3 linked regions of the Drosophila melanogaster genome follow. The protein of the gene in region 1 interacts with the protein of each later gene in a pairwise test. Each region holds a gene or a part of one and is shown on either strand. Other genes may lie near its edges. The genes, in order: CG31142, CG31493 and CG13175.

Region 1 (9,968 bases):
ACATGGTGGAGAGGCACCCGGATGGTGGTCGTAAGCTGACTCCGCAAGGACAACGTAACTTGGATCGCATAGCCAACAAGATTGTGGCCAAGCAGCGAGAGCGCAGTGCACCAGTTTCCATGATTATCACTACCTAAGATGATAATACCAATACCACGATGGATCATCTTTGAGTGCCTTGGGTTTTCAAAACATTCTCAATAAATCGAAACCAAAAATAAAATTAAACAATTATATACATAATAAAATAACTTAATACTTGAAATATAAACGATTCGAAACTTTATTTTTGACACAAACACGCCGAATAGCAAGAATCCAAGTTATAAAATGTTAGCTAGACCACAAATCTCCCGATTTTTGGTTGCCAGGAGCTCTGAAACCGCGAACTATGACCTCGGCCTGCCACCAACCGCTGGTTTCATTTGCTGCTTTCAAAACGTCATGCTCTTCGTTGGTCTGGCTAACGTCTTCCCCAGATTTATCCAGATTCCGCACGCCAAGATCGTGGTAAATATCCATCTCCTTGCAGCAGCGTAATTCATTCGGTGTGTTTTCACTGCAATGCAGTAGATGCAGGTGTATGTTCTTGCAGCTGCGCGGAAGTTGGCTTAATATATGCTTTGGGATTAGATTAAAGGAGTCACAATGGGATCCTTGGGGTCGATCGGAGTCTGTAAGGAGCTCCATTTCTAGAAACACGTTGGTGACTTTTAGTTCGGTGGAGAATAGCCTGTACAGCTCCTCGCAGGTGAGCAGGCGGAGCAGCGCCTGGTTGATGCGACCTTCGGGCAGAGCATGGTGCTCGCAATAGTGATCTCTGGATATGGAATCATGTGGTATGTGCAGAGTATAGGCCTCCGAGGGCATGAACATATTGTTGCCAAAAAGAAATCGCAGGCTCTTCACTTCAGAGCTCCTGAAGGCTTGTCGGATGATCTGTAGGAGAGAACTGGCAAGTAAAGACCAAAAGAAGTCCTGGATGTAAGGGGAACCTCACCTCTCTCATGTCACTAATAGATTCCTTGGTGGCCTTTGCCTTAGAGCGCTGCTGGTTGCGTTGGTAATGAGCAAAGGACTCCTGATCCTTGGATTCTCCCGATTCATCAGCATCTGACCATTTATCCACATAATATTTGTATGTTTTGTACACGAAGGGGATTTGCCGGCGTTGATAGAGCAAGAAGTCCAGGATGCCATTCACGAACTCCGCTGTTGTCCCACTGGTCAGAACCTCAATGTTATCCAGTTTAAGATCAACATTCTTGACATTTTGATCCATTAAAAGGTCGCAATATAACAAATTTAAACAAATGCTCTTTTCGCACTAATTGCAAACGTTGCCAGACTGAAACATTCAGTTTGTTTACAGTAATCGATAAGTATATAAAACAGTGACTTTTAAAATTTGCTTTTTTCAAGTCTTGAATTCATTTATATTTTGGTTGTTAATCATTACTATTGTTTTAATCCGATTGCTTAAGCATTTCTTGCCTATTTTAATTTTCACGTTTTTTTAAAATATTTGTTCACCCTTAGAGTTGCCAGACCTTCATGTTTCCATAGTACGGCAACACAGCTAACGCGAATGACTAGTAATTTTGTTGCCGACAATAAAGAGTAAAAAGTTCATCAAACGTTCGGCAAAGCAGCAAGCACCAAGACAAAATGGTAAAATAGCACCTTCAGAACACCCTGAACTCATTTACGATCGGGAACAATACATTTGCAGGGACAAAACCAATCGGCTCAAGGGGGAGCTGGCGAAAAGAAAGATGACAAGGATAAAAAGAAGAAGTACGAGCCTCCAATCCCAACGCGCGTTGGCAAGAAGAAGAGGCGCGCAAAGGGTCCAGATGCGGCCATGAAGCTGCCCCAGGTCACGCCCCACACCCGCTGCCGCCTTAAGCTGCTCAAGCTGGAGCGCATCAAGGATTACCTGATGATGGAGGACGAGTTCATCCGCAACCAGGAGCGCCTGAAGCCCCAGGACGAGAAGAACGAGGAGGAGCGCTCTAAGGTTGACGATCTGCGCGGCACCCCCATGTCCGTGGGCAACCTGGAGGAGATCATCGACGACAACCACGCCATCGTGTCCACATCGGTGGGCTCCGAGCACTATGTTAGCATCCTGTCCTTCGTGGACAAGGATCAGCTGGAACCAGGCTGCTCCGTGCTGCTCAACCACAAAGTACACGCTGTAGTCGGAGTTCTCAGCGACGACACCGATCCAATGGTCACGGTGATGAAACTGGAAAAGGCTCCGCAAGAGACTTACGCAGATATCGGTGGCTTAGACACTCAGATCCAGGAGATCAAGGAGTCTGTTGAGCTGCCACTGACCCATCCCGAGTACTACGAGGAAATGGGAATCAAGCCACCCAAGGGCGTCATCCTATATGGGCCTCCTGGTACGGGCAAGACCCTGCTAGCCAAGGCAGTGGCCAACCAGACCTCGGCCACTTTCCTGCGCGTTGTAGGCTCAGAGCTGATCCAGAAGTACCTGGGCGACGGACCCAAGCTAGTTCGTGAGCTCTTCCGTGTGGCTGAGGAGCACGCTCCATCCATTGTGTTCATCGACGAAATCGATGCAGTGGGCACAAAGCGCTACGATTCAAATTCTGGTGGCGAGCGGGAGATTCAGCGTACTATGTTGGAGTTACTGAATCAGTTGGATGGTTTCGATTCGCGCGGCGATGTCAAGGTGATCATGGCCACCAATCGTATCGAGACCCTTGACCCGGCGCTCATTCGACCCGGTCGTATTGACCGCAAGATCGAGTTCCCGCTGCCCGATGAGAAGACCAAGCGCCGCATCTTTACCATCCACACATCTCGCATGACGCTGGCCGAGGACGTGAACCTTAGCGAACTGATCATGGCAAAGGACGATCTATCCGGCGCCGACATCAAGGCCATCTGTACAGAGGCTGGCTTGATGGCGCTGCGGGAACGCCGCATGAAGGTGACCAACGAGGACTTCAAGAAGTCAAAGGAGAGCGTCTTGTACCGGAAGAAGGAGGGCACGCCCGAGGGTCTTTATTTATAAGTCGCGCGAAGATATACTTTCAAGTTAATTTTGATAATTCCCAAACACATGCATTAAACCACATTAACACTAGAATCGCTCCCCGATGTGAATAAATTCGTAGTTGCCGGGAGTTGCTGTGCCAGTTTTCCTAGGAGGTCGTCCACGTAGGTCTTTTGTTTTTCGGATATAACGTTGAGTGGAGCGCCTTGATGCTCCAAATATGTGAAGTGTGCTTTATTTGTTGCATCTGCCAGTTGGAGTTTTTGATAAGCTTCTCGTTCTGCATTCCATTCGGAGCTTTCAGCTCCCGCCGCATTGCTTATGGTTTCATAGAAGGCACTCAGTTTGGCCAGTTCGAATCCAGTTTTAAAGCCATTCTCAAAGCCTTCATCGAAGCTCTCTTGGAAGACCTTTTCCCTGCCATCGGCAACGCCATCTGCATAGCTTATCTTGATAGGGAAAGGGTATTTAGAAGTCGTGTTTACTCGGCAATGTAAAGCCAGCTGATTTCATCATGAAAGCTGGCCACGCCAAATTCATTTTAAACTTACCTTTGCCACCTTTTCCTGCACACGATGATAATTAGTCGAGCTGATCTCTTTAAACTCAGTTTCATCATCAGAATCCCCAAGTGCCGACATTATTTTTTAGGAAGAATATTAAAGCATGCAGAGGTAAAGATTTAATAACAAACAAAACCAGCGTTTTAGTAACAGGTGTGACCGGGTTTTATATGCCAAATATTACCGATTCATAAACTAAACTGTCTAAACATCTTTCAAGAATCTGTTAGTTATTAAATAAGAACAAGAAGTTTAAAAAGAGTACATGTTTTAAATTGCTGGGTTTGGATATCCACAGACTTAAAGTTATTGCGACTCAGAAATTGAGTTTAGAAATAATTTGAAAAACTGATTATATGAAATTTGAAAATTTTCGGTTGTAGGGCACTTAGGGAATTCTGTCGAAACTTAGAAATTGCACAATGGTTGTGGGCGTCTTTCCACTGGCGAAACTAGCTTTACTTGCCATTAAGCACATTAGCAAGCCCATTGGCAATCTGATCAAGCAAACGGCCAAAAAGAATAAGTCATTCAAAACCCTGGTTGTTGCTCCTCCGGCGAGATGTGAGTACAATCCGTGGAATGCCCACCAGTTATCATCATAACCAGTATAATGTTCAGTATACCACGTAATTGATGTGCGCTCCAAGATGTGGATGCTGGGACTTGGACAACCTCGTCTAATTCCGCCCCTCACTGACGCGATGACTATCCAAATGGGCGGTGATATCCTGGGCGAAATGGTCATCTTCATTATTGGCGCCACGCTGATTGTAGGCGAGTTCAAAAGGTATGCAAGCCTCGATTATCTTGAAGAAATCTTGGCTTATTTCAAATATGCTTTTAGGCAAGCCAAGAATGACAGGTTGAAGCACGAAAAACACAAGATGCATCGGGAGAAGCTGGAGGAAAGAATTGGTAACCTCACCAACAAGGTCGCCCGCCAGACCAAGGAAATCAATCAGCTGAGGAGCAAGCTGGGAAGTAGGGAAACCTATACGGCATATTGCAATACAGGGGATTTGGAATGTAACTGAATTGGCCTGGAAATCTCAGTCGCCAGTATATTCGTGCTAAATTTTATGTAACGCACAATGGTGATTGGTAGTTTTCCAGTTGGAAAAATTTTCATTCATGGCGTGAAACGGATTAGCAAGCCATTCGGAGACCTTCTGATTTGGATGGGCAAGCATCATCCCTTTATACGGCGCTACATCATCATTCCGCCTGCCCAGCTCTACAACACCTTTGAGGTCCGTTCCAAGCTTCGTATGCTTCGATTAAAGCAGCCCAGGCGGATTCCACCCCTCTCCACTCCGGTCGCCACCAGATTGGGCGCTGATATGCTGAGTGAGGCTTTTGTGTTTGGCATCGGCGCGGGTCTCATATACTATGAGCTTTCAAAGTGTGAACTATTACAAATGTCTTAATAATTTGTATTCCTATACAATTATTTGTTTTTATAGAACATATACAAAAACCAAAAAACAGAACCAGGAAATTGAGGATCAAAAAAGAGTTCTAGATGAGTGCGTGGACTGTATCAGTGCAGATGTGGAACGGAACCAAAGGGAAATCAACTGGATTAAGGCAGCTCTAAAAAACGTTGAAAAATAAGGATTTATTTTTGTATAATTTTATTATGTAATAAATAAATGAGTAATTTTCAAGTTCGTCCTATCGAAAGTTGCCTATTATTTACGGTTATATTTCCAGTTTCAAATTGTCATCACTATCGTGCATCCCTGCGCACACCGCTACCTAAAACACATCTCTAATTTTGCATGAATATTTTGTAATAGTTATTAGTAAAAAATTAGTAAAGTAAAACAATGGTTATTGGCGTCTTCCCGGCGGCCAAGCTCGGCATTTTGGCCATCAAGCAGGTCAGCAAGCCGATAGCCAACGTGATTAAGTCCAATGCCAAATCGAGCCCCTTCTTCAGGAAGTACATATGCATGCCGCCCGCACAGTGTAAGTGGTGCGATGTGATTAGATGAGATTACGGGCTCTAATCCCACATTTTCAGTCTACAACTGGGTAGAGGTGAAGACCAAGATGTGGGCCCTGAACATGGGTGGTCGCGTTAATGTTCCACCGCTGAACGAGGCGATGGCCATTGAGCTGGGAGCCAATCTGCTTGGCGAGTTCATCATCTTCTCGATCGGAGCCGGTCTTTTGATTTTCGAGTACTCACGGTTGGTAAACAGAGATCCAAAGCCATTCCAGAGCTATATTGATCCAACCACTTTCCAGTCAAACCATCAAGGAGAACAAGAAAAACGAGTTGGCGCAATCGGAGAAGATGGAACTAACCAATATGCTGACGGAGATGAACTTTCGGCTGGAGCGACAGGATGCCCAGATACGAGAAATGACGCGAGTGCTGGCTGATCTAGGTTCCATTTCCTTTCAACCGAAATCAAGTATCACGTAATCATATACCAACTCCTTACAGATTCGCGAAACATTTTCCGGTGGCACAAGGAGCCGATTCAGGAATACGTGCCCTTCGATCCCGACACGCCGGACCAGAGTGCCAGCGCCAGGAATCCGAAAAAGTTCGACAGCTTATATGACCCGCAAGGCGGTATGGCCTTCCGCGCCCTGCACTTCCTGGACACGCAGATCTTCGTGGACGGACGCAACCGCAAGGCCAAGGAGGCTCTCCAGCACCTGGATGAGGTGGCCGTGCAGCTGGAGCAGTCTCTGGGAGAGGCAGCCACCGTTGCCGTTGCCAGCTCACTGCCTACAAAAGCAGCCGACCTTTGACCAAAGCGGCAGCTAGAGCAGGATCTGGCCCTGCTCATGATGGCAGTGGCGATGGAGGAACAGTAAGGCCGCCCGCTTGTACACATTCAACCTGCAGACCATTTCATCAGTGCTAGTTATGATCAAATCGCGTGTTACCATTTCGTACTTTAAGTATAAAAGTCAATAGTATTCTATAACTATTGGACGTTTGTAGTTATATTTATTAATTTTTATTGTTACCGCAGACAAACAACTAAAGAGATGCAAAACAGTGTACAAGATGAGTGTATAAAGTGATGGATGGGTTTACTCCTGGCAGACGAGGTCCTGCAGCTGGCGCAGTTCCTCTCCAGGGGGTAGCAGATCGTCCAGATAGTCGCAAAACGACAAACAGATGGCGTACAGACTGCGTCGCACTGCGCATCGAAGCACGTTAAAGCTAGAGCTGGATATCCTTATGTTGCCTATCACGCTACTTAGCTTATCTAGCTCATTTCGCAGCTTGTTGATCGCCTTGATGATAGCAGGCAAATCGTTCTGCACTACTCCATATGGATCCTCTTTGAGCGAGGCTGCGCACACCTGAGCCAGAGCCTGAGTCATATACACTACGGGCAGGGAGTTGGCCAGCAGAAACGTCGTCTTGGCACCTTCGGGTTCGTTGAATAAGTACACAATGCCGGGAACGCGCTGTAGCAACCGTTGTAGGGACTGCTCCAACTGCGTGGATACACGCTCACACCAGTTGGGAAAATGACGGATGCCATCCGCTGGACTTTCAACAGCAACCTCGCGACTGGGCGATACAATGGGTCGAATGCCGTGTTTCTGGTTGTATTGCCGCAGCAACACCTTCTCGGCCATCAAGCTAGTTGTAAGCGATTCGGTTATCTTCGGCATCGGCAGACTCTGGGCGCACTTGAGTATACTTATCTTCTGCATCGACTCGGTTAGTTCTTCGGTAAAGCTGCCGAGAATGCTCAAGCATTGGTCGCAGAGGGAGCGCCAACTTGCTGGCCGGTTACCCGGCTCAGTCAGCTGGAATATCTCTGCCCGTTGTGGCGAGTTCTTTCGCAACGCCAGCTTGTAGAAATGATGAGCAGCAAGGCACTGCACTACATACACATTGAAAACTCCGAGACCCGCTACCAAGGTTATATCCTGTTCATGGGCAAAAGCAGCTCGCGGTTTAGTCACCACCAGTGGCAAATCCTCCGAGAGCAGAATGCCGTAAAAGCAACGCATTAGGTGCATGTTGCTCAAAATCTGTGCGGTCAGCAAATAGCCGTAAAAAAGCAGGCGCACATTGGTAACAACTCCGAAGAATCCATCCAGTCGCTCGTCCATGTCCACAGAGAGAATGTGACTAAGTCTGTGGCATACCATGGGTCCGAAAAGACAAAATACGGCGGTGTAACTGATCGTAGGCAGCAGCGAACTTAATAGAGATTTGGCCAAACTGGCGTAGAGCAGCTCTCGCATCTTCTCCGCCCGCGATTGCTCCACAATGGGAAATTCAATGGAGATCTCCTTGCGCATGTGAACGGAGACAAAGTAGTAGCAGCCGGCGGTCATACCGATGCCTAATAGATAGACATTGTAAGCACTAATGCAATCCTGGCCATAGCACTTATATTTCAGGTGTCTGGAAATAAAAGGAATCATAGGTATTGACCGAATTCAAACCAACTGTAGGTATACTTACTGATAGTCTGTGTGCAGATAGCCCGTGTAGAGCCAGGCGGTCAGCAGACCGACCAGAAGGTGGGCGAACAGAAAGAGCACCTTGCGTGGACCGTAGTGCAGGAGCCACCGGTAGCGGGTTGGGCAGTAGCGTCGCTCCGACAAGTGCTGCTGGCAAAGAATCACACCGTAGAGCACGACGGAGGCCACCAGAGGGATGCTGGCAAACCAGGTGTACCAACTGGCTACCAGACGCAGTGTTCCCGTCACCCAGGCGAGCGGATGCAACAGTTGGAAGTTCACAAACAGCAGGAACACTGTGAGCAGCAGGAATTGGATGGCCACGCTGAGGAGCACGGCGCGCAGGCAGCGGCCGAGCAGCAAGAGCTTGCAAGCGTTGCTGGAGGAGCTAGCAGACATGTTTGCGCTCCGAACTGCTAGACCATCGAGGTATCACCAATAATTTGATTTAATTCTATAGTTTTCTAATTGATTTCGCGACTAATTGCAAATATTCGACGGTTGCCGACAACGCGCGCGTTGTTGCACTTTTAAGTGTGACCGCATGCGGAAAGTGGAGCTGCCCGTAATCGATAACTCATTTGATGTTCGTAGTGAGAAACCCTAATGGAAAACGGTTTTTTGAAATTTATCTTTTTAATTACAAAGCACAATTTTGTAAATCTAGAAAGTTCACCATTAAAATGGCTCATAAAAACGTATGACTAAATTAGTATATCTTCAATTTTCGACCTAATTTAAGTTTTAGTTCTCCTTATGCTTCGGTCTCAGGTAGCACTGGAAATAAAAGTTGGCGAACATGATAAACATGATGGTCGCGGAGCAGCTGACCAGAAAGAGGGTTCCCTGCGATGCAGTGCACTGCCGCTGCATGGCGGTTAAGGCGCAATGGCCAAACATGAGGAGGAACTGCAGCATTTGCATGAGGGTCAAGTACCGCTTCCAACGCACCGTATTGCCCTTGATGGCCGAATAGTAATAGGCATACATGAAGATATGAACGAATACATTGAAGGAGCACAGGAAGAAGAGTTGACCTCCGTAGCCATAGAATCGTATTATCAAGTATCCGGCGGATGGCATCAGGACGTGGTGGAAAACGTGCAAAAACGTTATTTGCGAGTACTTCTTGCGCAGCACGCAGAACACGGTGTCAAGCAGGTCAACGATCTTGTTTATGTAGTAAGCATAGCTGATGCAGCGCTCCCAGTTCTTCAGCGGATGATCCTGCTGCAGGACAGTCATGCAGCGAAAGTTGTACGGTTGGAATACCAACATGAAGTAGTATCCCTACGGAAGAAGCTTTTATCAATTGAAGAAAAGAATGTAGGCTCAAAATTTCAACTCACGGGCAGGAGCATCATTATATTGTAGAATATCTGGAACATGTTATAGTACTTAAGCACTTTTCGCAGATTATAAGGTTCTCGATGCTCCATGAACTTCCTGCCGGCCTTAAAAACTACCAGAAGGTATCCAATGAGGATAATTATGATGGGACCGGGTCCAGTTGCCAACGGCAGCTGTTTGGAGTCCGCATAGGGCGTCCTAAATATTTCCAACATTTCTGTTACCTAATTATTGTGTACTTTTCAATTTGACAAATAAAACAACTGATGAACCGCCTTGCTGTCACGTGTTTTCTAATGAAAGCCTAAAAATATTGTATGCTTACTTCTTAATTGAGTAATTTCCCTAGGCAAGTTAGATTGATTTGTGTGCAATACCAAATTAAATAAACTTAAATAAATTTAATTGCCACTGTTATTTGGAAACAGCCTTGCCATACCGTTGGCTGATCGATAAGTCCGATATCGATTCTAGAATCGATGATATAATCTGGCATCACCGAACTATCGATTGCTCAGGTCGTAGCTTTGGCATTTTACAGACGTCCGCCTTCGGTCACATCACAT
Region 2 (9,875 bases), about 17 Mb from region 1:
CAAGCTTCCACCAATCACAGAGCTCGGCGAGGTGAAAGTTTTTGCCGCGCAGGGTTGCATTTCGGGGTGTGATAAGCTTATTAAGTTTGTCCACAGGCTGGGGTGAGGTGGAGACTTTGATTTTCAGGCCGTGCTCTATACCACATTCACATTGTGAGCGCATTCAATTGTTTTTTGATTCGAGCGCTCGTTTATCTGTTTAAGCGGAATTATTGCCCAAGTGCTTGACAATGGAAGGTGTTGATGTTTGATGTAGTAGACAAGTGTTTCCCCGGGAGGCGGAGGTGCACTAAAAGGGGTTGGGCTGGCAGCTGCACAAGTTCCGCAGTGATGTGCGGGAATAATGATCACGCTTGTGCGCTGTTCCCATGGCTTGGATTACTTGGTACCACTCCTAAGTCTAATTAATGATTTGTTTCAACCAAGAGGAGCTCAGCATACATGGTAAAAAGTACACTGAATAGTTTGCCCCATAAGGAACTGCCGGCGGAATTTGTCAACCAGCATAATTTTTAAGCATTAGCAGAGCCCAAATTCAAATATTTGCACTGTCTAGGATTTCCTCATTGCCTTTTTTTTTTTTTTGAAACAACTCCATTAAAAGCCGATTGCACTATGTACTGCATATTTTTCGGGGCTCACCAGAGACAAGGGTGTCAAAATATTATACACTCGACGAAGAAAATGTACGTCAATGGATACAAAAATGTTTTTTAAATTTTATATGTTTTCCTGTTGATATATTTTAAAGGTTTTATAATATTTTGTGGCTTTAAAAAATTTTTTTTTAATTATTTGGAGTCTTCATCTAGTAATCTTAATTAGGATCCTTAAACGAGTTGGTCACGCTATGCCTGTCTGTCTGTCCGTATATCGGTCCCTCCGTATGAAAGTTGCGATCTCGTGGTAATTAACGGGTATCTGATAGTCGATGGAATCAACCGTTGCGTTCTTCGTTTGCTTTGAACAGTCTTTGATACTAAGACGCATTTGCCTTTTAAACGCAATTAGTTTTAACAAACATTGTTTTCTTAAAATTGTAGGGTACCGGCTCACTAAACCATTGAATTTATTTTTTCTGTGTATTCCCGAGTACGCTGCCATCCCCTGATGCGTTGCCGTGCTCATCCTCGTCCTGCTTCTCCTCGTCCTGAAACTCTGTTTGTTTGTTGTCCTTTTTCCTGCGCCTGTCCTATGTGTTGTTGCCTCATCATCAGACAACCTCACTAAGGCTACCATGATAAACAAATTGTTTTGCCTTCGCCAGGAGCCTGCCGCCTACCCCCAATCCTTCGCCTTTGTTTCAGCGTTGTTATCGTTGCCGGCGCTGCTCGTTTTGTGCAGCTGTATAAACAAATTAGTTTTCAATTTTATCAAGTTGTTTCGCTGGGTCGATTTGTGGGATGAAAGCTTTTAGGTTTTTACAGCAGATCACAGGCCGCGATAGTTGAATTATTATCGGTTTTCCATTCGTTAAACACCACATTATTTTACAAATTGGCAACAATTAAAGTTTCGATTTTTCATGTCCTTCGCTGCAACAATGTTTTCCATTATTCCCACATACAAATACAAATACCTCACTATATAATAAACGCATTAAGTCACACAGCATGGTAAAGAAAACTTATAGAATATATAAAAAGAACAATAATTAAAAAAAAATTGTTAATCATTATTATTTATTTTTAGTTAATACGGCTCTTATAATGAAAATGTACCAGTTTTGAAATAACAACGTTGTATCGTTTTCAGAATTCGTTATTTCAATTCTCACACTCTTGGCCGCTATAGCAGGTTCTATATTATTATTAAACATACTGTCTGTAATTTAAAAACCAAACTGAAATTAGCCGAACTGGTCGGCACTCGGCGAATTATGCACACGTCATATAGCACAATCAAGCGTAACCGCCTCTTTGGCAGACAACCCTATATACGCATATCCTGTATATCCTGTGCGATCTGCGATATCATTACACGCAATTGCCCTGCCGCAAGGGTATTTGCCCTTGGCCTCTCCCCTCCTCTGTTGGCTAGGTACTTTCCATTTTTTGTTATTCGAATTCTAATTAAAAACCCCAGTGCATTGTTGAGGTGAAGCCAAAGTAGGATCGAAATGCTTATCACACTGCTCACCCAGCAAATCTGGCCTGCAGTCCATCCAAGTCCATTCGCTGTATTGACACCGGGCATTAGGGAAACTCAGGGAAATCCCTTCGAGTGCACGCCTCGCCGAGTCCTGAATTGTGTAAATTTTAATCTCATTTGAGAAGTTCGTTCGAAAGTGCAAAAATTGACATCAGCACTGAGGACAGACATTTAAAAAGGGGTGCGTTGAGCACTGAGTGGATTTTGCAAGGATTAAAACTTTTCAAACGTCCTGAAAAGTTATTCAATTTTATTTTTAACGACCCATATGGGCTGAGACCATTTTGGATTCACTGACAGCTCAAACAACGTTCTTGTGTGGCCTGAATTTTCCTAAATCTTCAATGGAACAAGTGCATTTTTAATCCGTCCACTTATTCCCTTGAAAAAATGTAAATGTTATAAGGGATTCCAAAGAAAACTTGCTTATATTCATTGATTGGAAGCATGTTTGATAATTATGAAAATGTTTATATATTTCTTCTATGTATTTTGTATGCGCACGTGAACATTTTCGCACGATGATTGTTAAACAGATAACTGCTAACACATACATATTTACCAAGACTAGATTTTGTCTAAAATTACCTATTCGTTAGGTAATACTTGTTTTTTTTTTTAGAAAATGGAGATGAATTTAAATTAATTTAATACCTACTCAGTGTGTCAACTCGAACTTTATCCACCGATGAGCCACTTGAAGACCTATCATATCTTACATGTAATAAGGATGTGAGCATCGTATATATGGTACCAGATCTACAAGCTTATTGGGCAGTTGGGCGAACATCTCAGGATAAAATTAACCGTTTAGGCTTCCGATATAAACATGGTCAAAGTACCAAAAAGGACTTACTTCATCTCTAAATTCTAACCATTTTTAGACTTTTGAATTGGGACATAATACTGAAGTAAAGGGAATCTGCTGTTATAACCGAGTAATTATAATGATGGCCAGGGCAGCTGTATGCCTTATTAAAGTCCGGAGTAATTTGATCGTTTCTGGCGAATCCTTCAGATTGACAATAAAGCATAGGAATTCCGCACTGCTTGATAATAGAGTCAGTACCTGATTTACAGGTAATTTAAAAATTCATCCTATAAACTGGTGTTACCCGTAGATGGTATAACTCGTCATCCAAAATGCTGATACAGTGTTAAATGTACCTAAGATGATAGCAACATACTTAATTAAGCATAACAAATTAAATTATACTGTTAAAAGGTGTTTCTTTCGTTGGATTTTAGTTTTATTTCCAATAATATAAGAATGAGCTTTTTCGTAATTATAAAAATTAAATGCCGTTTTTTAAGAACTTTTGCGTTACTATCTTCTTTTACTAACTAATCTATGAATCTAGTCAGAATGCGCGTTAGGTTTCCATCAAAACTTTACTACTTGCAGTTCTGCATATTCAAAGGCCTGGGCTGCGCCATTGGACTCCGCCATCGCTCCGCACAAGGACCTCAGCTCGGAAAAATGCCACTTATGCATAGTTTTCATTCCCAATTGTCTGCCCATTATTTGCGAGGATTGGGATGTAGTTATTGCGACAATGGCCTGCGGTCTTTCAATCCGCATCTCCTCAGGCAGCTGGTTGAGTATCTCAAGAGGAAGCTTCCGCTGGGCCAAGAGACTTGCGAACTGGATGGACTGCTGGCATAAGATGTGGCCCAGGCCACGTCGTCTGAACTCCGGCAAAGTGGCCATGTATTCCACATCTCCCGTGCTGTCCACCTGGCAGTGCTCGTTGACATTAAAGCTCGCATCGACAGCATCCCAAAGTTCCATGTACTTTATCATGTTTGGACTCTTGATCTGGGCGCAAATGTCGTAGTATGAGGTTTTCCTCTTTGTATTCTGGTTTGGGTGCACTAAAAAAATATAAACGATTAAAGCCAAATATACAATTGGTACCTACAAATATTATATTAGCGATTGCAGCCACAATTCTGCCACTTTCCACGTGTCGTATAGCGAATGATATTCCTCGGGATATGATGTGCCTTATTAGTTTACCTAGCTCGGCAATGGCCAACGGAGAGTCTTTAAGTTTAGCGATCACACATCCGAACTCATAATTGATCGAAATGTTCACAAGCAGCTGCGATCAGTACAATATTATAAGCGTATTATTATTAAGCGTAAAGATTTAACCCTGAACAGATGCATACCTCTTCAACTTCATCATAAAGCGGTGGAGTTACACGAAGGACCTCAAACTCCCCTTCGAAAATTTCGACGCAGTCCTTCATCGCCCGAATTCCAAACGAACGAAGAATGACGATTAATTTCTATAATCGTATTCGCTTAATTTTTTAGCCCGATTAAAGTTTAATTTATTCGGACTGCTAATATAATCTAGTACAACGTACAGCTTGCTGTTTAATAAACGTATATCTAAATACCATATACAATATAAATCCCCCTATTAATGTGGAAAATTGCAATTTCCTTAGCGTCAAATATATTCGTAACGAAGTTTTAGTAGATACAACGTATCAAAAAGCTACTATTTGTAGCAGTTGAAGAATAGCATTGATTACCAATTTCAACTGCCGAAACAAACAACATTCATTTAAAAATAATTTAAAATTTTGCAAGACTTGGCAAATAGCGAATTAAGATAAAAACCTTTTTACAAAACTTTCTGCTACATAAAGAACAACATTTTACGCTTAAGCTTTAAGAGAGAATCGGAGCATAACGATACAAAGCATTTCAAAAGAAAGTTTATTAATAACTATCTTTACTTGGTTTCCCTCTCAGCAATTCAAATTTAACTGAAATTTTGAGTGTGACCGCATACCGATAGTAACTACTATCGATACGAGACATATCAAATCAAACGAGAAATTACGTATGGGATGTGCACCAGACAAGAAAGAAAACATCACATTAGCTTCGCATGGCGTCGGTGGTGTAATGGTTAGCATAGTTGCCTTCCAAGCAGTTGACCCGGGTTCGATTCCCGGCCGACGCACAGCCGAATTTTTACAAAAATTTACAAATAAATTTTTTACAAACATTTACTTTTGTATTTTAAAATTTATAGATGACATGTTCGCAAAACTTGTGAATAAGGTTAATTCGCTCGTCAAATCTCTTCCCTTTGTACTCAAATTCCGAATAAGAAACGGTGTTGATCACTTTAAAGTCTGTTGCTTTTCCAACCTTTTGAGAGAATCTAGAGGTCCAGAGTGCGGTGACGGCAGCTGGGCGTTTTGATCTTAGTTTATCATCGATATCCTCCAGGCCCTTTCCTTCGGCCAGCTCCTTGGTCAGTTCAATTGTGAACTGGGACAACGATCGACCCAATCCCAATCGCTCGTGGCTCGGTAAAGTGGCCAGAAACATCAGTTCACAGAAGCACACCATGTTGAACATGGCACACACATCAATTCTTCCATCCACTTCGATCATAAAGTCCATTAGACGCCTTGCCTGAGGACTTTTAACTTCCTCGTTCCGGAATTTTAAAAAGAAGTGATCCTCGCCAGGTGGTGGTGCATACTGTGTTTTCGACACATTAGGATTAATATTGTTTAAATAAAAATCGAATCTTACCTGAATTTTATTAAACGACACGGACACTACGCGACCCGTATCCGCCTCTTTAACCAACAATGAGACACCATCCAGAGCGGTTTTTCTGCACAACTCTCGCAAGTCCAAACGAGCTTGCCGATTTTCCGGCAAATTAATTTCACAGGCAACACACACAGATTCGTTGAGAAAGAATGAGCCGTCAAGAACCTGTAAAATGCACAATTATAAAAAAGTTCTAAACAAATCATTTCTTGAAGAGCTGCGGAACTAGATTTCAATATATAAACAACATGCTTTTTATGTTGGTTTTACTAATATATATCTGTGAATACATATATATAATGTTCGATTTCTTAGCCCTCCTTAAATCTTAAGTTACTTTCTCATTTCACAAAATAAAAAATTAATATGCCGTAAAGAATTGAAAAAAATACAAAAAGTGAACTGCGTCGGCCGGGAATCGAACCCGGGTCAACTGCTTGGAAGGCAACTATGCTAACCATTACACCACCGACGCCACGTCGAGTTTGACGCACAAAATTAGTTTTGTGCTTCTGATGAATTAACGATGATCAAATTTGCACTACACAAGCAATATAAATTGTTTGAACTTTAAGCTTAGTTCTTGATCGTCTTTATCCCAGAAATAACTTTTTTATGGCTGATAGGCATGATTATGGGAGTCCCTCGGAATCATACTCACATCTAGCGCCTCTTCCAGGTCGGAGTGAGTGACACTGCGCACCTCAAATTTGCCTGCAAATAAAGATATACAAAAACTTAAGTGGTGGATATTTATTTGTATGCAAGACACTCACCGTCGTGCAACGTTCCCCAGAGTCTTCCGTTTTCCATCCGCATTCTCAATGCCTTATCGGTCAGCCAGCTAGCTAGCAAAGTATAGAAGCAACCGCGTCCAGTGGTGGTCACTAACTGAGCGATACAGGTTTACGACTAGGCAACATATATTTTTAAATGGAAGCTTTAAAAACCTAGCACATAGACGCCATCTAATCTAATCGCATGGGCACGCGAGTTTTTAGATGATACCGTCAACGAAGCGAACTTAATAGAGCACTTTAAAATAATCAGAGATATGCAACGCGCATTTAGTCTTAGTTGTACAATCGTAACATTGCAATTGCACGCTTTAAGCTTGATAAACAAATAAAAGACCTTATTTACAAATTTGTTTATTTACCCACAACTCTTTTAACTATAAATTCGCTTGTATAAATAAAAAGTTATCGGTACTCTTATATCATTCTGTATACAAAGCCTTTTCCAATTTTACCTCGGGCTCCATGAGGACTGTGGCTTCTTTAATTTTTTTCCGAGTATCTGATGCACTTTTATGCCTGAGATTTTTGTAAACTCGGAACGCCAGTCTGATTTCAGCGACGTAGTCATCTCTAAAATATTCTACCTGCTTTTGAGCTTCTGAAATTTAATGAATTTTAATTTAAAAAAGAAGTCATATATGTATATGTATGTGCTATAAACAAAGCGTTGTTGAAATTTCCAAACTCCTTGAGATGTATTTTATTGTGGATGCCGTCAAAATTGAAATCAACCAAAAAGTCTAGGGCGAGTATAAGATGAAATTGTTTTTTGAAACCTCCAGGTCGGGGTGACCCACCGAACCACCGGGTTTCAAAATGTTTCGCATGGTTTGAATCTAGGTAATAGAAAACACTTTATAAAGAATGCTCAAACTGAATGTTTAAATTTACTTAAATCAATGATTTGATGGGATCATTCATTTCCTCTTCCATCTTCTCTATTTGTTCCAAGTTCTTTAGTCGAAATAGTTGAGGTGACCAGCCTCCCGGTTCAGCAGGACTCATCATGTGTCGCATGCTACTGATGGAAAGTATTTGAGGTCCTGGAGAATCAGTTGGTTGAGCCGTCAGTTGGCTGGAAACAGGAAAAATTTTAACAATACCAGAAAAGTTCAGAAAACTCAATATATCAAATATATCAAAATCAATATCGGGGCGAAGAACGTAATTGGAGTTTCAATCAATCCGTCCAATTCTGTCAAATTTATGAATATAAATACGAACAAACAGAGTTTGCTTACACTATTAAGTTCTTAGTAAGCAATTAGGATTATAACAGCAGTGTGACCGTTTGTTGAGCAGAATGTTAAGTAAATAGTTGCAGAAGCATGTGAGGGGGACTCCATCCTTTTCGAAAATCTATTTTCAATTATAGAACTATATGTAAAACGATTAGAATTAAGGCATAATTAAAGTGCCTCTTTAAAGTAAAGAAAACTTCAGAATGTTATCAAGAATACCTCAAATGCCGTCCATATTTCCGCTATTTACAACACTGCCTGATCAGCTGTTTGGTTTTTTTTAATAATACATTGGATTTGTTATTGTTGCGAGTCAATCATAAAAGCTTTCTAAAGACAACTCTCAAAAGTGCAATATAGTAGATAGAAACATAAGGCTGTGATCAAAAGCCAATCCTGATGTGTTGCCCTGGCAACCGGGCGCAAACAAACGAAATCGGGAAATCTAATTAGTTCTCTTCGCCGCCTTAGTAAAATGTTTATTCTCGACCGAATACTGCCTTTTATTTTTAGCTATATAAGGCCCTTTATAAAGTGGTTCCTGCACGCCTTCACCAGGCTCTCGGAGCTCCAGAGGATTTGCTATGGAGCGAAGGCCGGAGCCAGCCGAACCAGCCAGGTGGAAAGGTCCCTCACATTGTCCAAAAGGCCGCAGATACGACGACTTGTACTTGACCTTGATGAGGCGGCGCCATATGTGAGCAACGCGGAGCTGCTGGATTTCGGTTAGTCCAAGGAATAGTATAATCTCTGTGCACAAAGCACCATAATCATTACAAGCTTACACTAAGTTAAATATTATTAATCATTACCCAATACTTTCAGCTCCTCGCGCTGCTCGCATTGTGATGCAGGCGAAACGCATCAAGAACAATGTCCACCCGGATTTTGCTCGGCTCTTCGGCACATGCGTGACGAGTATCTGGGGCTACCGCAGACTGATGCATCAGGTGGAACAGCTGCGGGCGGAGAAATACGACTCGGATAACCTCGACCACGAGCAAAAGCTGTTGCGATTGTGGCAACTGCTGATGCCAGACACTCCCCTCACCGGTCGCGTGACCAAACAGTGGCAGGACATCGGCTTCCAGGGCGACGATCCGAAGACGGACTTTCGGGGAATGGGCATGCTCGGGCTAGAGAACCTTCTCTACTTTGCAACTGCCTATAACGACGCCGCCAAACATGTCCTGCTGCACTCGATGCATCCCACCCTGGGTTACACCTACGCCATTGTCGGCATTAACCTCACCTCCATGGCCTTCAATCTAGTGAAAACGGGCGCCGCCAAAACCCACTTCTACAATTTGGTGGTGCAGCACAGACAGGACTTTAGCACCGTGGAGGATTTCCACAAGTTGTACTGCTATCTGTTCTTCGAGTTTGACCGCTTTTGGATGGAGAGCGACCCACGAAACATTATGGACTTCCGCGAGATTTACCAGTCATTTGAAATTACAAAACTAGAGGCCTTGCACAATGATAGCACTATTTTTAAGACCAATTTGGTTGTAGAATCCGTCTAAAAACACGAATAGGTCAATTAATGTGAAAATGAATTTGTATCTCGCTGTATCTGAATAATTTCTAACTCTGACGATATTGGGAATTGATTGAATCAGATCAGGCTGACCATTTTTGTAAATACATGTTTAGAGTGGGGCTAAATAAAATAATTATCTTGTCATTTTTCAATTTAAATTATCAATTCATTTCGCTTCTAAATCACTTTGTAATAAAAAAAAAAGGAATCCTAAAATAAGTATCCAAATACGACAAGCCCTTTTAATTTTTGTATAAATGCAGATTTTATGCGTTTATTTGAGAGCCATATATAATGTATATTTGTATATGTATTCATATATATTTGAATGCAAGTATGTAAATCGTTAAACTAAGCCTGGAATGTCACACAATAATACTTTAAATTCAAGTCGGAGATTGCCCACTGAGACAGAATAAATAATAATTTAAATATCACGCAAAAGCATAAAAACTAAACGAAATAAAATCAGTAGAGATTGCACAAGAAAATATTTTGACGACTAAAGCCTATTTGGTAATGCCATAAGAATGCTCAAGTCAAATCCC
Region 3 (10,322 bases), on another chromosome or scaffold:
GGAAGTGAATTCCAAATTCCGTGCTCCGGAATGGCGTGCTTATAGGCTTACATTTGCCTAATTTAGTAATGATCCTGAATAAATGATCCCCTGATTAAAAAAGTTCTCCTAACAGTGGGATGAGTTTGAAAGGTATTTAAAAATGCCGCCTTCTCTAGTAGAAGTACTACAGCCGATCCGTGTCCTTAACTGCTTTATTAACAGTAATAGTTTTGGGAGACACCGCAGTTTATCTGAGGGTTAGTTTATCTGAAGGTTAGTTTGTTTCCTGGTGGTTTGTTTATCTGGTTAGCTTATCTGGGGTCTAGTTTACCTGAATGATAATTTACGTGGGAGTTAGTGTAACTGAGGGTTCAGTTGACTGGTGTTTCGTTTAGCTAGGGGTTAGTTAATCTGAGGTTTCGTAATTTTAAAAGAAATCCATTTAATTATTACTTTGAACCAAATCATTTTTAACATCTTGTAAAGCTTTTAGAGTTGGTCACACTACCATGAACAGCAGTAAAATTGCAAATAAATATGTAATTATTTGGCGATAGAAAAATGGAGGAGTCACCTTACCTGCACAGCCCCTACCAGGTGGCCATTATAGCCACCGACCTGCACCACGAGGATACCATAATCCAAGCAGCCCAGTCCCTGGACTGTCTACACAAAACCATAAACTCGATTTTCGAGCGAATCGATGCCCGCTTGGCGAGAAATGGTTCAAAGGTTGAGGACATAAACAATCGTGTGAAGCGCGCTCAGGCAAAAATCGATGCGCTCGTTGGCTCCAAGCGGGCCATCCAGATCTTTGCACCCGCCCGCTTTCCGGCCAGCGACGTCCTGGCACCGCTGCCAGCCACCTTTCCACAGGTGGCAGCCAATCCCCTAATGGAGCAGCAAGTGGACCAGCTCCCGCAAGGGACGTACAGCAGTCACAGTGCCGCGGACCAGAAGCCGGATGATGCGGACATCTTTTTCCATGTACGTGGCGATCGGGAGCAGGAATCGCCACTGGTCGCCGAACGGAAGATAACCAATCGGACCGCTGGCCTGGGCATCCTGCCTGCGGGTGGAGTGCGCTCCGTACCCTCGCTCATGCGATTCAATACCAATGAGTTCGCCTACGGCGAGGATCTGAATGCCTGGAAGCGATCCCTACCGCCGCAAAATGCTCGACGCGTTGCCAGTCAGTCCACTCAACTCACGGGAGAAAAGCAGCTCGCTCCGGCACCTCATTCGCTGGCCCACGGCACCACCAAACTGGCCACTCCAGCTGGGGACCTGCGCTACAATCCTGCTGCTTTGGCTGCACCCGCCATTGATGTTCCGCTGGACCTGCCCGACCTACCGGGCATAGCGAATGATCTGCAATATGAGCCAGTGGAGGAGCAAACACCAATAGCGCCTTCCCAGCAGTTCGGTGATTTACCAGAGCTGCCGGATTTGGGCCTCGAGGAGCAGGATATAATAGTGCAAGCCATCGCGGCACAGACGCACATTCCGGGACCGGTGCGTAGGAAGAGTGTGGGACAATGTCCTTCGCCAGTTACGGCGGCACCACCGCCTCCTCCTCCGCCACCACCGCCGCCTCCACCTCCTCCACCAGCGCAGACGAGCGCAATTCCATCACCGCCACCCTTTCCCACCAAAGGAGCTGTGAAACCGCTCTCCCCGTCGTTAGCAACACCTCTTAACATGCCGCAGCCGCCTCCAGCTACTGAAGATCCGCGATCTGAGCTTATGGCCGCCATAAGAAACGCCGGTGGAGTGCATGGCGGTCGTCTGCGGTCGCCTGCGGCTGCGCCGCTCGACGTGGTGGACAACAGTCGCTCCAAGGCGGGAGGCGCTGTCACGGGGGATTTGATGGCAGACCTGCATAACAAGCTAATGCTGCGACGCAAGGGAATTTCTGGGAGCCAGAATCCCGTGGAGGCCACTGCTGGCAATCCCCTGATGCAGCAGCTCTCCCGCGTCATACCGCCGCCGGTGCAGCCCCGCAAGGGATCTAAGTCGAGTGACGAACACTCCGAGGACGACGAGGATGGGTGGAACTAGTGAATATTTAGCTTTAGTACCGGTTTAAGTGCCTTGGCTGGCTTAAAGCACTAGCAACCTAGGTTCTCTAGCTTAAAGCATACAAATTTCTAAAACGAATTCCAAATTCTGTGCCCAAGCGAGCATGCCAAATTAGGTCAAAGTCAACCAGTTGAATAAAACTACATATTAGCAGAAATGTGTGTAATTTCTTATTGAGAACATTGGCTAACTTTAATTGATAAAATTACAGGACAATGAAACATTTTGTGATGCTAAATGAAATAAAACAATTCTTTATACTGACTAAAATAAACTCGATATTAAATTATAATAAAACACTAAATTCTAGTTTTAGATAACAGCTATTTTCCTATTTGAAATAAACGAATTTCCCTGTTAAATCCTTAACAGCGCTGTTGTGTTGCTCTCTGCCAGTGCTGTAAAATGCCGCAGTGGAATCACATTTCGGGTAAAAACAAATTGAAATATCCACCGAATTTAAATATTAAAGTTAGAGAAGCTGCCAAATATCTGGAGTTACAATCAGGGACAAGGACAAGGACTACTACACTAGAGGAGAGCTTTTACAAGCAATCCGGTGAAACCACATATAATGACAAGTCCGTCGCGGGATATAAACGATCTTTTTGACGATATTGTCCTGACCGAGGAGAAGGAGGCACGTTTGGGCTACGAGGAGGGACTGAAGGACGGCCAGGAGCAGGGCAACGAAGAGGGCTATAAATTGGGCTACGCCCAGGGAGTATCCCTAGGCGAGGAGCTCGGCAAGATTCTGGGCCAGGTGGTGGCCCAGCAGCAGCTGAAACACACGGACAAGGTGCGTCGCAGCTTGGAACAGTTGCGTTCGCTCATCGAGGAGTTTCCCCGCACCAACGATCCGCAGGCGGACATAGTGGGTGCTGTGCAGGACATTCGCTCCTCCCATCGTCGCCTTCGCGCCCAGCTGGGATCCAAAAAAACGCCTGGTGCAGCGCCTGCAGAGACCAATTCTGTCGAGCACAAGGACTACAGCTTCTAGCCTTATAGCACCATGTCCAAGGTGGGAGTTGTGCAGTTGCAGAGGCGTCTGGATGGCTTACTGGCCTTCCTCAATCCGCACTGGGATTTTGTCAATTGCCACATGGTGAACTACTTGACGGACCAGCACTGGGACGGCTTTTTATCCGAAACGCTGAAAAGTGAGATCGCCGGCAAGGAAGATGTGGCTCTGGCCATAGAAGACCTATTTTGGAAAACTGATGAATCAGAAAGGTTTCCGGCATGGCGAGAATTCCTAGGCAAGAGCAAACAAGAACGCCTGTCGCTTCAGAGGGTCAGGGGAACTCCACGCAGCTAAGCATTCGGGAGTTTATGAGCGCCAAAAAGTGCCATGAGGTAAGTAAACCAACCATTTTAAATGAGAGTATTTTAGGAATTGATTAATCTCTCCGATTAGGTGGATCTAACAGCCGTTCTCGTGGACCAGCTTGTGAAGAACTCCGGTCAAGATTGCTTCATTGTAGACGCGGGCGATGGCAAAGGGTATTTATCCTCGCGCTTGGCGCTCCAGTATGGTCACCGCGTGCTCGGCATCGATGCGAACGCGGCAAACACCGAGAACGCATTGAATAGGAATCGCAAATTGCAGGTAGGCCGGGCTTACAAAATAAAGTTAGCTTTATTTCATTACGTTTGTAGACTTAGAAGTAAGGTGTGGGTGTATGTAGGTGAATCCATTGGCTAGTCGCGCATTTCGCCCTCCTCGTCGTCGTCCTCCATGCCCTTGATATACAGCACGTTGTTGCAGCGGATGAGCACCTCGCCAAGATTACCAGTCACGGAGCCCTCGATCACTTCCTCCGTGTTCGCCAGCTGCATGTTCATGTAGCCGTCGACGGAGACCAGGAAGCCCTTGTACTCCTGGCCCCACTTCAGCTTCACCAGCACCGGTTTTCCCGTCAGGCCGTTCAGGAAGGGCTTGGGGTTAATGGGCATACCAGCCGACATTCTGTTTATTTGATTTTTCCTGCCTTTTTTATAAAATATTACAACAAGCGTGCCGAAAATCGCCGGCTTTTCGCGTTTTTTTTGTGTAGTGTGACCACAGCTGCGCTGTGTAAACATACCAGAACAAGAAGAAGAATAGCATAGAAGAAGAGTATTGAAAAACCATTCAAAAGCGCCAAAATTAAAATTTTATTTAATTTCAGCGCGCTTGGAATGGCCTTACGGAACGAGCGGAGCTGCAAGTCCAGGGAATCACGCCCAAGAGACGTGGTAAAAAGTCGCCAGCCAGGGAGAGCACCAAGAGTGCGCCTGCCTTGGAAAACTACAAGACAACGGCAAAGTTTATAACCACCGAACTTAACTTTGGTGCCCTGCTGGCGGAGAATTTCACTCAGTTTAGACCGGAAGACAGTCCAAACATTTGCCTTACTGGATTGCATACCTGTGGCAACCTGGCCGCCACCTGTCTTCAGGTTTTCCACGCCCAAACGGACTGCCGGTTGCTTTGTAATGTTGGCTGCTGCTATCATTTGCTGCGGGAGCGCTATTCGCAGCAGGAGTTCTTTGGCAATAAGTCCCTGATGGAGCTGCAAACAGACTATGGATTCCCATTGAGTCAGTACCTGCGGGAGCGACAAGTGCGAATGGGTCGCAATGCGCGGATGCTGGCGGCCCAGTCAATTGAACGCACCTTGGACACCAAGGAGCTGCCTAATGTAACGCTCTACTATCGAGCTCTCTTGGAGATTCTGGTTTGCCGCCATGCGCCGGAGCTGAAAAACGAACTGCAGGTGGGCAAGGTACGGAAATTCGAGAGTTTCGAGGAGTACATTCAAAAGTGTGCCACCAAATTGGATGCTCCCTGGTTGGCAGCTGTTGAGAAAGAAGAACTTCAATCCCTGCTCCAGGAATATGCCGTGCATAAATACTTCTTGGATCTGTTCTATCTGCTGCGCATGTCCTTTGCTCCGGTGCTGGAGAGTCTAATTCTCCTGGATCGCCTGCTCTACCTCAAGGAACTTGGCTATGAACGCAGCTATCTGATAGATTTATTTGATCCCGTCATTTCGCCCAGGCATTTTGCAATTGTTTCTATAAAGCAGCAAACGCAACAATAATGAAATTCACAAATGCATCAAAAGCTTGACGAGAAAGCCGGTTGTGTTTAATTATTTATAGATTATAGCGTGCAATACTTTTCATATCGTATATGTATTGCGTTAACGCTTTTAAAAATCTAACTAAACCATAGCACACAAAAAGTAAATAAGGTTGTTAAAACTAAGAATCATTATAATAAATGTAATCATGACTTGTAATTATCTTAGAGTCCCTCTGGATTTGCTGTGGTTTGTTTGTCGTATTTTAAAGCTTTTTCCACCACACAGGTGAATTTATAAGTATGCACTTGAAATTGCTATCTCAGAACTTTTGAGACTTTCGAGTATAAAAACGCAAACAACATTTCAAATCGCCCCAAGTGCGGTGCGTAGAGCTTTAATTGTCGGTTGTGTACGCGGGTGCTCAGAATTTATAGATCCAATAAAAGTTTCCTTGAAATTGCTGGACAAACTTGTTGCGAATTAGGCCAGTTGCAAATAAATTGTGTGACTAAAAAAACCTGTATATTTTCAAAGTAAGTTATGAAATTCGGTATACAAAATTGTATATTTTAATTTGAAAAAGTGTGATATCCTTGAAAAAACCACACTTAATATGGAATTGAGGGCAACTGTGAAAATTAAGATTACTTGGTTACTGTTACTGTTACTAAAATAAATAGAGAACTGGTTTCTAAGAAATATATTTTGGACATTTGCTCTATAGAAATAGTAGTCTCATGTATAATTAATAAAGCTTAGGACGAAATCCTTGCTGGCAAATTTTTAGTGTCATATTTGCTGCCCGAAAAGATTTTCTATTTAGCTTTACAAGCAGCTTAATTGGGTGTAGATATGGCGGGAATTACTATAAGCGTATCATAAACACTCATTGTAATGCTCCCTATCATAACTAATTGTAATTCGCGTTGGAATGGAAAAGATAATGCCAGCTAAAAATAATTAAGACGGCTGATTTAATAAAATCTAGGTAAACATGGGTAGCAAAACACTCTAGATTGCATTTGAAACCATCGACCGTTTCAAATGCGATCGAGATAAGATAATGCTGAGGGCACTGGCATTTGATTAATTGTTTTAGCGATTAATTTCAGAGTGGCGATACCCATTACATCGACATCCCCAAAATGGTGTTGACCGAGGTCCTCTTTGTGGTGGTCGCCGCACTGGTGGCGCTCTACACTTGGTTCCAGCGCAACCATAGCTACTGGCAACGCAAGGGCATACCCTATATTCCGCCCACGCCGATCATTGGCAACACCAAGGTGGTCTTCAAGATGGAGAACTCCTTTGGGATGCACCTATCGGAGATATACAATGATCCGCGGCTGAAGGACGAGGCTGTGGTGGGCATCTACTCCATGAACAAGCCCGGCTTGATAATACGCGACATAGAGCTGATCAAATCCATTCTGATCAAGGACTTCAATCGGTTCCACAACCGATACGCCCGCTGCGATCCCCATGGCGATCCATTGGGCTATAATAACCTGTTCTTCGTCAGGGATGCCCATTGGAAGGGAATTCGCACCAAGCTGACTCCCGTTTTCACCAGCGGCAAGGTCAAGCAGATGTACACCCTTATGCAGGAGGTAAGGATTTGTGTTGAAACTTATTTATCCTTATGAGGGATTTAACATACATATATGCTGTGCAGATTGGAAAGGATCTGGAGCTGGCACTGCAGAGGCGTGGAGAGAAGAACTCTGGGAGTTTCATTACGGAGATTAAGGAGATCTGCGCTCAGTTCTCCACGGACAGCATAGCCACGATTGCATTTGGCATTCGTGCTAACAGCCTAGAGAATCCCAACGCAGAGTTCCGTAACTATGGACGCAAGATGTTCACCTTCACCGTAGCGCGTGCCAAGGACTTCTTTGTGGCCTTCTTCCTGCCCAAGCTGGTGTCGCTGATGCGCATCCAGTTCTTCACGGCGGACTTTTCCCACTTTATGCGCAGCACCATTGGTCACGTTATGGAGGAGCGAGAGCGATCGGGCCTGCTCCGCAATGATCTCATAGATGTCTTGGTGAGTCTGCGCAAAGAGGCGGCTGCCGAGCCTTCGAAGCCTCACTATGCCAAGAACCAGGACTTCCTGGTGGCTCAGGCGGGCGTGTTTTTTACGGCGGGTTTCGAGACCTCCTCCTCGACCATGTCTTTTGCCCTGTACGAGATGGCCAAGCATCCAGAGATGCAGAAACGCCTGCGCGACGAGATCAACGAAGCTTTGGTGGAGGGCGGTGGGTCATTGAGCTACGAGAAAATCCAGTCCCTGGAGTATCTGGCCATGGTGGTGGACGAGGTGCTGCGCATGTATCCGGTGCTGCCGTTCCTGGACCGCGAGTACGAGAGCGTGGAGGGACAGCCAGACTTGAGCCTGAAGCCGTTCTACGACTACACTCTCGAGAACGGAACCCCTGTGTTCATACCCATCTATGCACTGCATCATGATCCAAAGGTATTCCATCACATTGAGAAGTTCATAAGCCCCCTCCTCTAACTATCTGGTTATTCCTAGTACTGGACCAATCCCAGCCAATTCGATCCGGAGCGTTTCTCACCCGCGAACCGCAAGAACATAGTGGCCATGGCATATCAACCCTTCGGATCTGGGCCGCACAACTGCATTGGCAGCCGGATTGGCCTGCTACAGAGCAAACTGGGACTGGTCAGCCTGCTGAAGAATCACTCAGTGCGCAACTGCGAGGCCACCATGAAGGACATGAAATTCGATCCCAAGGGTTTCGTGCTCCAGGCAGATGGTGGCATACATTTGGAGATAGTCAACGATCGCCTCTACGATCAGAGCGCTCCATCGCTCCAATGAATTTGAATCGCATGAACTGTGTGATCTGTATGGATACACATATGGATACATATATGTACATATATGGAATAAGTGATTAGTTGATGGGGCAATCGCCTTCTGACAGCTGGCATTTGCCTGACTTATGATGCAGATTATATAATGATAATCCGTGTGTTAGAAGCGGCGCCTAGAGTCTACTAAATAAAAACAAAATCATTATCAAATTACATTTAATCTGCGTGCTGAGCAGCTAGCAGCTACTCAATTGCGCCACCAATAAATAAATGCAATAAATGCTATCTTTACGATTATAAATCCAGTTCAAAGGCATCTCCCAAATGTAACAAATAACCCAATAGCTCTCATCTGTGGAATAAGTAGAGTCTATACAGATACGCTTGGATCTTGGAGATGTATTATATATGTATGGATAGTATTGCATTCACTATTCACCGGCGATGGAACACGCAATTTGCCAATCAAATTGCCTTTAAGATGCGACACCAGCTCAATTTTAAATCCCCAAACACGCGACTCCGCTGCTTAGTTTCCATTCAGTTGTTGTAGGCTCCATAGTCTCACCACCCAGGAAAGAAGTATCCAGATTATCCCATATCCCATATTCAGGTGAGTTAGACGCCCAAAGCATCGCGAACCAGCCGTAGGTGGATGCCGCCCTTGGCTTGGGTTATGATGGCCTTGGGATCCAGCTGCATGCGATGGGGTGTGCGCTCCGAGGTGGTTATCATGTGGTTGCGCAGCAGGTTAACCAGACCCACCTTCGCCTGGAGATATCCAAAACGTTCTCCGATGCAGCCATGCGGACCCAGGCCGAAGGGCATGTAGGTGTAGGGCGTGTGGAGCTTGCGATTCTCGGGCGAGAATCTTTCAGGCAGAAATTTTCGCGGTTGAGGAAAGTACTGGAAAAGGGTAGTCGTTGGGTAATGTATGCAAAATGTATCTCAACCCACCTGGGGATCCATGTGCAGGGCATAGCAGGGTATATAAACGGGCATGCCCTTGGGCACCACGAACTTTTTGTGGAACGGAGCCAGCGAGTAATCCCTCCCAGAAGTGCACTCGCGATCCAAAAACGGCAGTGGCGGATACATGCGCAGCACCTCCAGCAGAATCATTTGCATGAACTCCAGTGACTCGATCATCTTCAGCGTCACCTGACCTCCACTTTCGACCAGTGCATCCTTGATCTCCTCCCGCAGGCGCTGCTGTACGTCCGTATCCTTGGCCAACTCGTACATCGCGAACGCCATGGTCGAGGAGGAGGACTCAAAGCCGGCGGTGAAGAAGAGTACCGCCTGGGCGACCAGGATGTCGCCCTCGAACACAAATTGATCCTTGATACCCGATGCCTTCGCCAGCTGCGTGCTCCTACGGAACTCAATGAGAATGTCGATGAGATCGTTGCGCTTCTGTCCGGATTTTTCCCGCTCCGACATCACATAGTTGATGGTCTTGCGCAGAAAACGAGTGGCCTCCGCCGGCACCACCTTGAATCTAACGAACGGGACCAGGTGGGGCAGGAAAAACACTAGAGTGAACTCCGCGGCACGCAGCAGGTTGAACTCGAACACAGAACGTCCATGGCGGCGGAACTCGCACTTCGGATCCGTGAAACTGTTGGCACTCACTCCGTACGCTACCGTGGCTATCACATCCGTGGTGTAGAGAGCACACAGCTCCTTGGCCTCCAAGTCGAAGCAGCGCATCCGCTCGTTGTGCAGCGGCTGCTGGCGGAGATGGGCATCCAAGCTGGCGCCCACCTCCTCGATCAGGGGAAACATCTGCTTCAGTCGATTGCCGGTGAAGAAGGGCGATAGCTTCAAACGTACCTCCTTCCAGGCGGGATTCTTCAGGAAGAATATGTTCTGGGATCCCAAAGGGTCGCCCTTGGGGTCGGAGCTCGAGTACCGGTTGGAGAAGCCAGCGAAGTCCTTGACCAGGATATTTCTCACCATTTCGGGGTCTCTCAAAAGCAGCGCCGGCTTGTGGAACACATGGATGCCCACGAAGGGTTCGTTCTCCGCATCGGGATGGTTATACAATTGCGATATGAACTCCGCGGGACTCATTCGCATGTTGAGCAGTCCCATCAGGTTGCCCACTATCCATTTGGGCCTGATTTCGCGTACTCCCATTCGCCGCCAATAGGAGTAATGCTGCTGCAGCGCCAGAAAGGCAATCCCTATTAGGGATGCCACGAGGATCAGCAGTACCAGTTCCATGCTAACGCCACCAAACCCAATGTCCAACTGGCTGAAATATTGCCAGCACCATAGAGTTAAAGCTTTGGGTAAGCGGAAACTCTACTATGAGATCATCAAGATGATCCTGAGTGCAAT

What was found.
Region 2: the proteins of CG31142 (region 1) and CG31493 interact in a two-hybrid assay, tested with the Drosophila melanogaster proteins (one large-scale study listed by BioGRID).
Region 3: the proteins of CG31142 (region 1) and CG13175 interact in a two-hybrid assay, tested with the Drosophila melanogaster proteins (one large-scale study listed by BioGRID).

Annotation. Positions count from the first base shown.
Region 1 is NT_033777.3:23,923,027-23,932,994, reverse strand, and holds CG31142 (uncharacterized protein), read right to left. Parts: upstream 3,753-9,968; 5' UTR 3,673-3,752; coding exon 3,583-3,672; intron 3,481-3,582; coding exon 3,103-3,480; 3' UTR 3,050-3,102; downstream 1-3,049. Other genes in the region: RpS19b (ribosomal protein S19b), read left to right, coding at 1-137; CG13599 (uncharacterized protein), read right to left, coding at 334-939, 1,001-1,282; Rpt2 (regulatory particle triple-A ATPase 2), read left to right, coding at 1,669-1,671, 1,733-3,049; CG43999 (uncharacterized protein), read left to right, coding at 4,017-4,158, 4,216-4,384, 4,442-4,631; CG43998 (uncharacterized protein), read left to right, coding at 4,689-4,999, 5,061-5,211; CG13601 (uncharacterized protein), read left to right, coding at 5,427-5,568, 5,624-5,792, 5,851-5,993, 6,053-6,366; Ndc1 (nuclear division cycle 1), read right to left, coding at 6,655-7,993, 8,054-8,451; CG31141 (uncharacterized protein), read right to left, coding at 8,797-9,342, 9,402-9,617.
Region 2 is NT_033777.3:7,126,207-7,136,081, reverse strand, and holds CG31493 (uncharacterized protein), read right to left. Parts: upstream 4,523-9,875; 5' UTR 4,408-4,522; coding exon 4,327-4,407; intron 4,257-4,326; coding exon 4,074-4,256; intron 4,027-4,073; coding exon of another isoform or gene 4,013-4,026; coding exon 3,536-4,012; 3' UTR 3,387-3,535; downstream 1-3,386. Other genes in the region: CG31248 (uncharacterized protein), read right to left, coding at 5,195-5,665, 5,720-5,908, 6,405-6,457, 6,520-6,562; CG10068 (uncharacterized protein), read left to right, coding at 8,260-8,509, 8,610-9,310.
Region 3 is NT_033778.4:12,180,158-12,190,479, forward strand, and holds CG13175 (uncharacterized protein), read left to right. Parts: upstream 1-2,481; 5' UTR 2,482-2,638; coding exon 2,639-3,064; 3' UTR 3,065-3,076; coding exon of another isoform or gene 3,077-3,420; intron 3,421-3,481; coding exon of another isoform or gene 3,482-3,673; intron 3,674-3,686; exon of another isoform or gene 3,687-3,765; coding exon of another isoform or gene 3,766-4,032; exon of another isoform or gene 4,033-4,153; intron 4,154-4,235; coding exon of another isoform or gene 4,236-5,150; 3' UTR 5,151-5,349; downstream 5,350-10,322. Other genes in the region: wash (washout), read left to right, coding at 544-2,043; small ribonucleoprotein particle protein SmF, read right to left, coding at 3,766-4,032; Cyp6g1 (cytochrome P450 6g1), read left to right, coding at 6,281-6,745, 6,811-7,611, 7,672-7,980; Cyp6g2 (cytochrome P450 6g2), read right to left, coding at 8,595-8,882, 8,934-10,205.